Linked DNA regions of Saccharomyces cerevisiae S288C. The protein of the gene in region 3 purifies or fractionates together with the protein of the main gene of each other region. This does not show direct contact. Each region holds a gene or a part of one and is shown on either strand. Other genes may lie near its edges. The genes, in order: AIM9, TIM11 and EHD3.

Region 1 (4,225 bases), on a different chromosome or scaffold from region 3:
GCTGAAATGCCTGGTGTCAACTCGCCCGACTTTATAAGGAACGGCCTTGTCTCATGCAGTGGTTGGCCTGCCTCAATGGGGATTCTGACTCTATTAGTAAAAGTATTACTTTTATGCTGTTCCAATGGCGATACCAACTTCGAGAAGTATCTTTGGCAAGATTGCATAGAAAACCGTACTGGGTTTATCCTATGTAACATATCAACAGAAAATGACCACTTTTCCTATTAGCTTTTTCTATTATATTCTTTAGAATTGGTGGAGTTTCTTGCGCAAACGATCCACTTTTGCAGTGCAGTAAGTGATCCCTATACCAGGTGAGTTGATATATATTTACTGTATCTTGTACTATTTTATGAACAAGAAAGGCTATTACTCACAACAGTTTTGGTTTCAGTCAAAGTTTATGTGTGAGTGTGAGTGTGAATGTGTGCGTGTTGCATAATTGCATTTGGCCTTTCCGAGAAATAAGTCATTCTTTATTTTTCTCTCTTTACGGTTTAATGGTGCGGCTTTCGTATCTGCGTCTCATCCTTCCCCCTTGCCGCTTGTCAGAACTCTCTAGCTTGGCGATTCTCTATCAACCTGTTATTCCAATTCTTATATCTACCATTACCTTCCAGCATTTTTTCAAATGTGTTCACACGCCCTGTAACGTTTATATATAAATATTTTAATATTTAACTTAGCTTATGCATATATAGTTAAAAGGGATAATAACAATAAGAATAAAAAACACAAACTGCTGAGATAAGAAAAGGAAGCGAATAGTTAATAATGCCTGATTCATCACATTCAATAAGCTCAAAAGATGTTGCATCTGCCATCTCTCTCTATGATCAGTCCATTTACACTAATAACAGGTCTACTAACCTGGACTTAGATCAGAGATCAATGAGCCCTTCCAATATTGCCTCTGGTGAAGATAGGATAACGAGAACGAACTCAGGTTGCTCCATCACATCAGGTGCCTCCATGATTGCCACGAAGGATGGTATTCAGGGGATTAATGTCAAAAGAGATGGGATTCCGAAATATTCACTTAATTTATTGAATTCCATGGTTCGAAAACAATATGATCACAATAATGGAACAAAGTCTCCTACCCCGAAGACTAGCAATATGGTAGACCCTAAGAACAAAAAGAAGAACAAAAAAAAGAAGAATGACAAGGATGACAAATACAAGGTATCGCATGATCAAACCGAAAAGTTTTACAAACTCAACACCACTTCCAACTCCAATCTCACCTCTGATTCTACTACTTCGTTATCGGACCAGTTTTATTTCCAGAAAAGTAACGCTGATTCTGCTCCATTAGACAATGCAAATTACCCACTCTCCGACCATTCCCCCTCCCTAAACTCTATGGATAATACTACAAAGCATAGCAGCAATGTGCACACTTGAATCACGTGAACCACAGTAACCTAATTGCTCAAATTTTGAGAGTTAAAGGAAAGAATAAAATATATAAATGATACGTTTATACCCGCTAAAAAAAAAAAATATAAAACAAAAAAAGGATCTCATAAGACGATTTGTTGGGATATGTCCACATCTTTCGGCTATATACTACATTTAGCTGTTTCCCGTTTCTTTGTATTATTCCCTTCTTATGTATAACTTTTACTAGTAATAATTATAATAAATATTCGTTTTGAAACATGGTAATTTCAAATGTTCAATGTATTTTCGGGCCGATTGCTGACCAGCGACACTTTAAGCCGAACTGTATTTAGTAGACTCCCTTTTCTCATCAGCGAAGAAGAAGTAGCAAAAGCTGTTTAGCAAGCAAGACAGCAATACGAAGACCAAGCATGATTAGGTACACTGTTGCTGGCCATTCCAGAAGGTGTGTAGTAGGAGCTTCGAAAAGAGTGGGTGCAATTAAATGTATCACCGTCGCCGCCACCAAGAGATTTATCTCCAATAAGCCAAACGAAGTTTTTACCAAGCTAACGAATGACAATGATCCAAAGAGAGATGCCTTTTTCAAATATACGTGGGGCTCATGGCTTAAAAATGATAAGCAAGAAAAGGAAAAAAGATTCACGAAGTTTTCGATTGAAGGTTTAAATCGCATTCTCAATGACATCTACATTCAATCTAATGAAATGGCTAAGGCCCCCGACGGTAAGATCTTACCACCAGTGTTTAACAAGAACTTGACCGTTTCATTGGTCAATAACGTTGTACCAAAGAATATAGGTAAAATCAACCCAAATGAAAAAGTTCAAGTAACCACATTATCTAGTATTCACGAAGGTAAACATCACAGAATATACAAGGTCGACACGAATTTGAACAAGGCATTTATCTTGAGGATTCCTTATCCGCTGGAAAATGAAAACACTCTATCCTACAGAATAAGAAGTGAAGTAGCAACCATGGATTTTGCTGACTTGAAGTTGGGCATCAAAGTTCCCAAGATTTTTTGTTATGGTGTCAATTCTTTGAACCCTGTAAGGCAGCCTTTTGTCTTACAAGAATTTATCGAAGGAGAACTCTTGATGAAAGATTGGGATCCATTGATTGAAGACGGTTCCTCCAATCAAAAAAAATATGACAATGTTATTAAACAAGTTTCTGATTTTCAGTCGAAGTTAGTGTCATTGAAATTAAATGCATTTGGATCCATATATTTTAACAATGACTTAAAAGACGGAAATGAGAAGGAGTTTGTTAAGGAAGACATATACGATGGGGAAACTAATCCGGATCTACAAAACAGATGGAAAATTGGGCCATCCGTGGAAAGATGTCTCTGGAGACATAAATCTCACTTGGATTTTCATAAACAAATGAAACCTTTTTTGGGACCATGGCCAAAGAAGTCTCCAATGGATATAATTAAAAATACTGGCCTATTGGAAGCTGAAAATGCTAAAACTAGAATAGCCATGAAAGAGGCAGGAAGTTCAGCTGAATTGATGTATCCTCGAACTTTGAAGGAGCAAATAACTACCTATGAAAATTTAGCTAAGATTGCCCCGGATTTATTCAACGTCAAAACAAAGGCCATTCCAAATATGCAGGAACTATTGTCACCACGTTTGTTTCATCCTGATCTAGACCCCATGAATATTATTGTTAACAAAGAAGCACAAGAAGCCTATCTATTAGATTTTGAAGGAGCATGCACAAAACCTTTCATTTTACAGAATTCGCCACAATTCATCGCCTATGATGGGCCCAAGATTTATGACTTAAAGGAGGACATAACCGATTTTGACAAATTATCTGAGGCGGAAAAGGTGCAATATCAGTTCATGTACAAGCGCACCCGTAATCAACATCAATGGGAGAAAAAATTAAATGACAATAATCCTAAATTAATTACTGCAGTTGCCCCACCTGTTAAGCTACTGAGAAGCCCATATATTGCAGCTGTCGAAAGAAAAACGGAAGAAGAGTATTTACTTATTGATGAATCACTATTGCAATTGAAGGAAGTTTGGGACATCTTTGCCCAGAATGAGTTAGTGAATCAGAAAAAGTTTCCTCTAAACTATAGTAAAGAAGATATTGAAAGACATGTTGAGGATTTGCAAAAATTACACGAAAAGCTAATCTCTACACCATTTGCTGCCACTCAAGGGTGGATTCCTCAAGATATGTTTGATCAACTATTAAATTCCGGCAGTATTGTTAAGCAAGAGAACGGAGACTACACCGTGAAGCAACCTGAAGCTACCAAATAATCTATACTAAAAATGAAATATTTTTTTGTTTTCTTTACCTCATTCAACTGTATAGAACGTTATAACAAAATAATCAAGTTAAAACCCTTTTTTGTACACAATGGAATCTCTTCCATTTACTAATCAACTTAACAATGCTGGATTGGATATATTGATAACGTTTTAAAAAGCGTTGCGTGATGTTTGGGTGCAATTGGCGGAAAAGCGGAACTTTCAAATTTACGATAGGTGGAGATACATCTCCACCTTTCTCCCCATTATCTTTGAATTTTCCTCAAATATATAAAGAGAACAACAAATCCATAGAAATGCCATTGTTTAATCCTGATTATCTACATTGTTTTAGTTTTTTACTCACAATCGAGTAATGCCTTTGTTTGGCCAAGCTATGTGCAAATATCACAAATTAAAAATTTGGTTAAGCAGTTAGGCTGGACCTAATATTTTAGAAAAACCTAATTTTTTTTGTGGACCCATTTTCGATATTTACTCACAAATGGAATTCAAGGGGAACAACTTCG
Region 2 (2,626 bases), 590 kb from region 3:
AGATTCGTTGTTTGGGTATTCAGACAACCCTTAATCGAGGATAAGCAAGGTCCTAACATGTTAGAGATTGACCGAAAGGAACTAAGTAGAGATGATTTTGATATCAGGCAATTTACGAAGAAATACAATCTAACCGCTATTGGGGCACATATCTGGAGAAGCGAATGGGATGCCAAAGTCGCCGCCGTCAGAGAAAAATATGGCCTACCACCTGGAAGGGTTTTTAGCAGAGTTAGAAGGTGATCCTAAATAGTATGACATTATAGTATCCTGTACATATAAAATAACGTGTCATTGTTAATAAAGCTTGATGCAAATAATATAAAGTAAGAATCTGAAAAATTTTTGGAATGTGAATTTTGTTTACAATACGATACGTATGATATTAGTATGTTCTAGAATATATACATTTCATTTTTTTCCTTATTGTTTGTGCACTAACGAATGAAGAAAAAAATATGGAACATCTAGCGAACGAGAATCCATCATAACTTCGTCATTCAGTGCGAGCTAATGTGCATTTTTAGTATCCTATTTATGTTGAAGCTTCTATTTATGTTGAAGCTTCCTTCAGGGATTCAACGGCGTTAAGAATAACTCTTTCAAAATCTATATTAGGATCTTCCAAATTAAATGAGGCGTTCGCAGGCACATCTTTAGGAGTTACTACAGGGTGTAGCTTGGCGTATTCCTTCTTTGCCTCCTCTACCAGCTTCAATTTCTCCTCGTACTGTGCCTGCTCCTCTTTCTTCTTAGCATTACACTTCAAAATCATATCATTTCTAAAACCAAAAAATAGCCCCAAACCCAACGCAGAGTATCTCAAAACATTAACTGTCGACATCCTTTAACTCACTCAGCTAGTTCCTATATACGTTATGTTCCGATATAATACTTCCTTTTATCTAAAATTTCTGTGTGAAAAGTCAAAAAAACTAAAGAAAAATTTATACCCTTAAATAGATCTGATTGGCTCCGCGGACCAATTAGCGTGGAGATTCCGCGAATGATCGAATAATAAAGATATGTCTTAATTAAACCCATGGTCACCCAGCTTCGATTGAACGGTATGTATTCTTGAGTGCAATTCTTCTAAGTTCTTATTAAGTGTGACGATCTCCTCCAATCTACGCTGCTTCTTATAGTCCTGAATTGTGGACTCAATAAGGTAGCTTTGTTCCTTTAGGACCATCAATTCTTCTCTCAGCTCTTTCACTTCTTTTATGGTCAAGTTTTCGATCATTAGTTGCGATAATTTCTTTACCTCTGGTTCAGCTTTTTGCCCATCTTCATTCGTTTTATGGCCCTCTGGGTTCAAAATTGCCGGAAGCGACTTCAACGGTAGGATTTTTTCGTTTATGTATGCAGCGGAAGCTATCTTGATCGAATTTTGAAGTTGTCTCTCTAGATGACTTTGAGGTTCTACACTTAAGAGCTGTCTTGTTAGTGTATTATACAAGTTAAAAGAATTGAGTAATTTATGTCTTAATCGAGCGAGATCATTCAGATTCTTTGGATCAAGTGTATTTTCAGAATCCTTGGCAGTCTCCACCTTCAGGCTATTCAATGAGTCTTCAAAAATGGGCAGGAGACTATCAATTACTTTGGATATATTTTGCATGCTATCATATTTAGCAAATATTCCACTTAGCGGCATTCTAACGTCCTTGTTAAATTTCCTGCCAATAAATAGCATATCGATACAGTGCGAGCACAATCTTATGGATATAGGAATATGAAGTAAATCATCCTTCTGTATATTGTATTCGAATGGCAGATCTGACGCTGCAGACATTAAATAACCTATGCTTATTTCGTTTGAGCAGTTCCTGTTTGCATCATCACAAACAACCATACCACATAATCTGCAGTGATGCTTCCTTAGTAATAGCCCAAATGGTTCGGAACATATGTTACAAAAGAGTACACTTCTATCATCTCTCCATGGAGTAACTGTACGTTCTAACTTGGACATTTCACTATTCATCTTCAAATTATGAATAATGGATCTAGAATATGTGTTATAGAGTGTAATCAGACCATCAACTAGACGGACAAACCGATTTTCTAATTGTAATAGCCTTAAGTTTTTGTCCTCTCTTTTTATATTTCGTACCTTAAAGAATTCTGGTGTTAAATCTATTACTTCGCCATAATCGTTATAGCCAGGTTTTGTGACGAAACAATCATGGCAGCAATTGTACCATTTCCCGTTTCTGGGGTCATACTGTGCGGAAAGATTAAGTTTAATCATATTAGGAAGATGCCTTCTGCAATACAGTTTACCACATTTCCTACAATTAATGGCGCCAATATTGTTATTCAAAGTCCTTCCACATGTGTGACAGCAGCTCTTCCCTTTTTTGAATTTTTCCCAATGGCTTCTTTTCAACTTTTGCGCACTGCTATCAACAGATCTGGCCTTTTTTTGTTTACCATTGACTAAACGACTGTCATTGGAACCGAGTGAATCTTCATTATCGTTAAACCCATGCTCAACATCTAAATGTGCATTTAGTGCTTGTAAGTTATCAAACTTCCTTAGACAAATGGGACATGAAACATTTTCAAGATCCATAATAGATAAGTCGCCAGGAAATTCGGTGATATCCCTTTAAAAACCATG
Region 3 (3,713 bases):
GAACGGTACTAACTTTGACAAAGAAAGTGTTCAAAATACTAAGAAACAGTTAGAAAAGGCCGGTTTGACTGATGATTCCCAGAAAAGAATTATGATCGATTGTTCCCACGGCAACAGTAATAAAGATTTCAAGAACCAACCAAAGGTTGCCAAATGTATTTATGACCAGCTGACGGAGGGTGAGAATAGTCTCTGTGGTGTTATGATTGAGTCCAACATAAATGAAGGTAGACAAGATATTCCCAAAGAAGGTGGCAGAGAGGGATTGAAGTATGGTTGTTCTGTTACGGATGCTTGTATTGGCTGGGAGTCCACCGAACAGGTATTGGAGCTATTGGCAGAAGGTGTTAGAAACAGAAGAAAGGCCTTGAAAAAATAGCCTGTAAATGAGGGAAAAATGCAAATAATCTTGAATGATACTCAAAACTTTTGATTTATTGTAATTTCTTTCTGAACCATATTTATTACATTCAAACTTTTTTTTTTTTGCCTTTTATAAAAAAAAATACTTATAAGAAAAGAGAAAGAAAATGACAGTTTTCTATGTATCATTAAATAAACATCCATATACAAATATAGCGTTATGTTTTACTTTTATTATTTACATGCATAGAAGTGTTGGCAAAATTCTTTACGAGCCACGGGGCTGCTATTTCAGGTTTTATTTCCATCTTAAGCCATCGTTAACTTCTTCACATTTTCTTTCACAAACAATTTTACATAGCGATTGGATACCCAGTTTCCCTCTTCTAGAAGGAATCACATTGGCAAAGTGATTTAGTACTTCTCTTTCGGTAACTTTGGCGCCAGTGTCATCATTCGTTCTCTTTTCAATATACGCAGCGATTTCCTGTTCTGTAGGCAATTGGTATTTAGAATGGTAGGGATATTGAGTCCAAGTAACATTCGAGGTATTTCTTAGTAATGACATTGGTAGCGATGGTTTAGGAGATGTGATAGATGTCAACTGAGATACAAATAACTGTTCCTTCTTTGTCCATGGATACGGGACCCTTTGTTTATCAATAAGTTTATGCTTTGTGGCTTCAGAGAATTCCACCAAAGAGTCCTGGTTCATGCACATGTTAGCTGCTGTGTATAAGTCTCTTTTGATAGCAGATTCTATGTGATCTCTGGAATTCTCTTGCACCAATCTCAAGGCGATTTGAAGAGAGGATGGTGACTTGGTTAACAATTTCGTTTTGATTTCTTGTGCGAAAGCCTTACCTTCCGCAGAACCTTCATATTGACGTAAGTTATTCATTATGTCTTCAATAGTACCATTTTTAGACAAGTTAAAACAGGCTTCAATAACGTTTAATTTCTCGTTAGAATACTTGAAAACATAATCTTTTGGTAATGGTGATACGAATTCGTCGATGGATTCGTTAACCATCCCGAAGAAGTATGCAGATTGTGGATCGTTATTAAAAGGGGGGCTAATTTCACCTAATCTTTTCTGCAAAGCATCTAAATTTTCACTACTGACGTAATGAGACGCTAAGCCGAGCATATAAGCGTCTGCTCCTGTGACTACTTCTCCTGTAAGACATAGATACAGGGCCATTTGTGAGTTTGAGTTAGCCAATGTCACGATTCTAGGGAGAGCAAAAGTTGAGCCTACATCTGGAAAAAAACCAATGTCCATCTCGGGCATGGCCCATTTGGTGTTTTCTGTAGCAATTCTAAAGGGCGTGTGAATGGATAGACCAACGCCGCCACCCATGGTGATACCGTCCATGAAGGTAACAATTGGTTTCAAGTAAGTTGCTATTTGAAAATTCAAAGAATATTCATCAGTAAAAAATTTGATGGACTTGGCAAATTCTTTGTTAAAATTGAATATTGCCACAGTAGCTACATCACCACCAGCACAGAACGAACGTGGTCGGTTGGATGACTTTAAAATGACTAAGTTTGTAGTATCGCTCTTTGCATACTCGTTCAAAGTCTTGAACATGGATTCTGACATTTCGGCGTTCAAAGCATTGAGCTTTTTGGGCCTATTTAGCGTGATAACTCTAGCTGTATCTTGAACGGTAAATAGCACAGGTGGTGCGTCGGTGACATTTAGCTGGGGTTGAGTAGTCATGAATGTACGTGTGGTAGTTTTAAATCCGTATTTAGACGACAATTGGGCACATTTTAGCGTATTTCTGAGCATTATTTGTGGTGGCTAAACAGAACCAAGTATTATATAAATGAGGATTCCCGTACACAGGCGCAGGAAACAAGCTGCTCTTATCTTCTCGGCTACCTCATCAATCATTTGGCTCCGAGGTTTAACACTTTTCTTTGCACTTGCCTCTCCAATTCCGAAGTTCCGAAGGGTGACCCGGATTGTGTTACTAAACAAGAGAAGATTGGTAGAAAACGCAATGGGTCAGTTTGGCTGGCTGAATCCTTGGAATCCTGTAAGGCTGCTTACTACAAATGGGTTAGGGACTGTTCTCTTCGGCATAATGTTTAAGTGTTAGTTTTGAGATATTACATGTTTAAGAATTCAAAAAACCTTTCTATTAACCCAGGAAACGATGCGGATAAGGCGAGCTTCTCCGACCCATGAGCACAATAGATCAAGTTCTGTTCTAGTTGTTGGTTAGTAGTTTATGGAATGCTAATGGCATTAGTGATGTAGGAATATTTTTGGTGTAGTGTATGGGTGTTGTGAAAATATTTGCCATTTGAATTTTTTTCGGCGCTTTTCTTTTTTTTTTTCTTTTTTTTTTAGCTTGAATTATCGATGAATGATGAAATGACTCTTAATGAACTTCGAAGTTATATATACAGCCACTTTTTTGTTTAGAAAGAAAAGTATAATTATCTTACATACATTGATTTATTGCTCTGTCCTTCCTCCGAGAAATCCGTAATAAACTTCAATAGCATAATGTCTCAACAAGATAATGTCAAAGCCGCCGCTGAAGGTGTTGCTAACCTACATCTCGACGAAGCTACCGGGGAAATGGTCTCCAAGTCTGAATTGAAGAAGCGTATCAAGCAAAGACAAGTCGAAGCTAAAAAGGCCGCCAAAAAGGCTGCCGCTCAACCAAAACCGGCTTCCAAAAAAAAAACAGATTTGTTCGCTGACCTGGATCCATCGCAATATTTCGAAACAAGATCTCGCCAAATTCAAGAATTGAGAAAGACTCACGAACCAAATCCATACCCACACAAGTTTCACGTTTCTATATCCAATCCTGAGTTCTTGGCCAAATATGCGCATTTGAAAAAAGGTGAAACCTTACCTGAAGAGAAGGTTTCAATTGCTGGTAGAATTCATGCCAAAAGAGAATCTGGCTCCAAATTGAAATTCTATGTTCTTCACGGTGATGGTGTTGAAGTTCAATTGATGTCCCAATTGCAGGACTACTGCGACCCAGACTCTTACGAAAAGGATCACGACCTTTTGAAAAGGGGTGATATCGTTGGTGTCGAGGGTTACGTCGGAAGAACTCAACCAAAGAAAGGTGGTGAAGGTGAAGTTTCCGTCTTCGTTAGCAGAGTGCAATTATTGACACCATGTTTGCACATGTTACCTGCCGACCACTTTGGTTTCAAAGACCAGGAAACCAGATACAGAAAGCGTTATTTGGATTTGATCATGAACAAAGACGCCAGAAACCGTTTTATTACCCGTTCTGAAATTATCCGTTACATCAGAAGATTTTTGGACCAAAGAAAGTTTATTGAAGTAGAAACTCCAATGATGA

The links.
Region 1: the proteins of EHD3 (region 3) and AIM9 fractionate together in Saccharomyces cerevisiae (co-fractionation; one large-scale study listed by BioGRID). This does not show direct contact.
Region 2: the proteins of EHD3 (region 3) and TIM11 fractionate together in Saccharomyces cerevisiae (co-fractionation; one large-scale study listed by BioGRID). This does not show direct contact.

What each region holds. Positions count from the first base shown.
Region 1 is NC_001137.3:318,143-322,367, forward strand, and holds AIM9 (Aim9p), read left to right. Parts: upstream 1-1,820; coding exon 1,821-3,704; downstream 3,705-4,225. Other genes in the region: ICP55 (aminopeptidase), read right to left, coding at 1-200; YER078W-A (uncharacterized protein), read left to right, coding at 504-668; YER079W (uncharacterized protein), read left to right, coding at 778-1,410.
Region 2 is NC_001136.10:1,111,450-1,114,075, forward strand, and holds TIM11 (F1F0 ATP synthase subunit e), read right to left. Parts: upstream 845-2,626; coding exon 554-844; downstream 1-553. Other genes in the region: mitochondrial 54S ribosomal protein mL38 MRPL35, read left to right, coding at 1-243; PEP7 (phosphatidylinositol-3-phosphate binding protein), read right to left, coding at 1,031-2,578. UniProt on the Saccharomyces cerevisiae protein: Mitochondrial membrane ATP synthase (F(1)F(0) ATP synthase or Complex V) produces ATP from ADP in the presence of a proton gradient across the membrane which is generated by electron transport complexes of the respiratory chain.
Region 3 is NC_001136.10:522,550-526,262, forward strand, and holds EHD3 (mitochondrial 37S ribosomal protein mS47 EHD3), read right to left. Parts: upstream 2,165-3,713; coding exon 662-2,164; downstream 1-661. Other genes in the region: 3-deoxy-7-phosphoheptulonate synthase ARO3, read left to right, coding at 1-379; lysine--tRNA ligase KRS1, read left to right, coding at 2,891-3,713.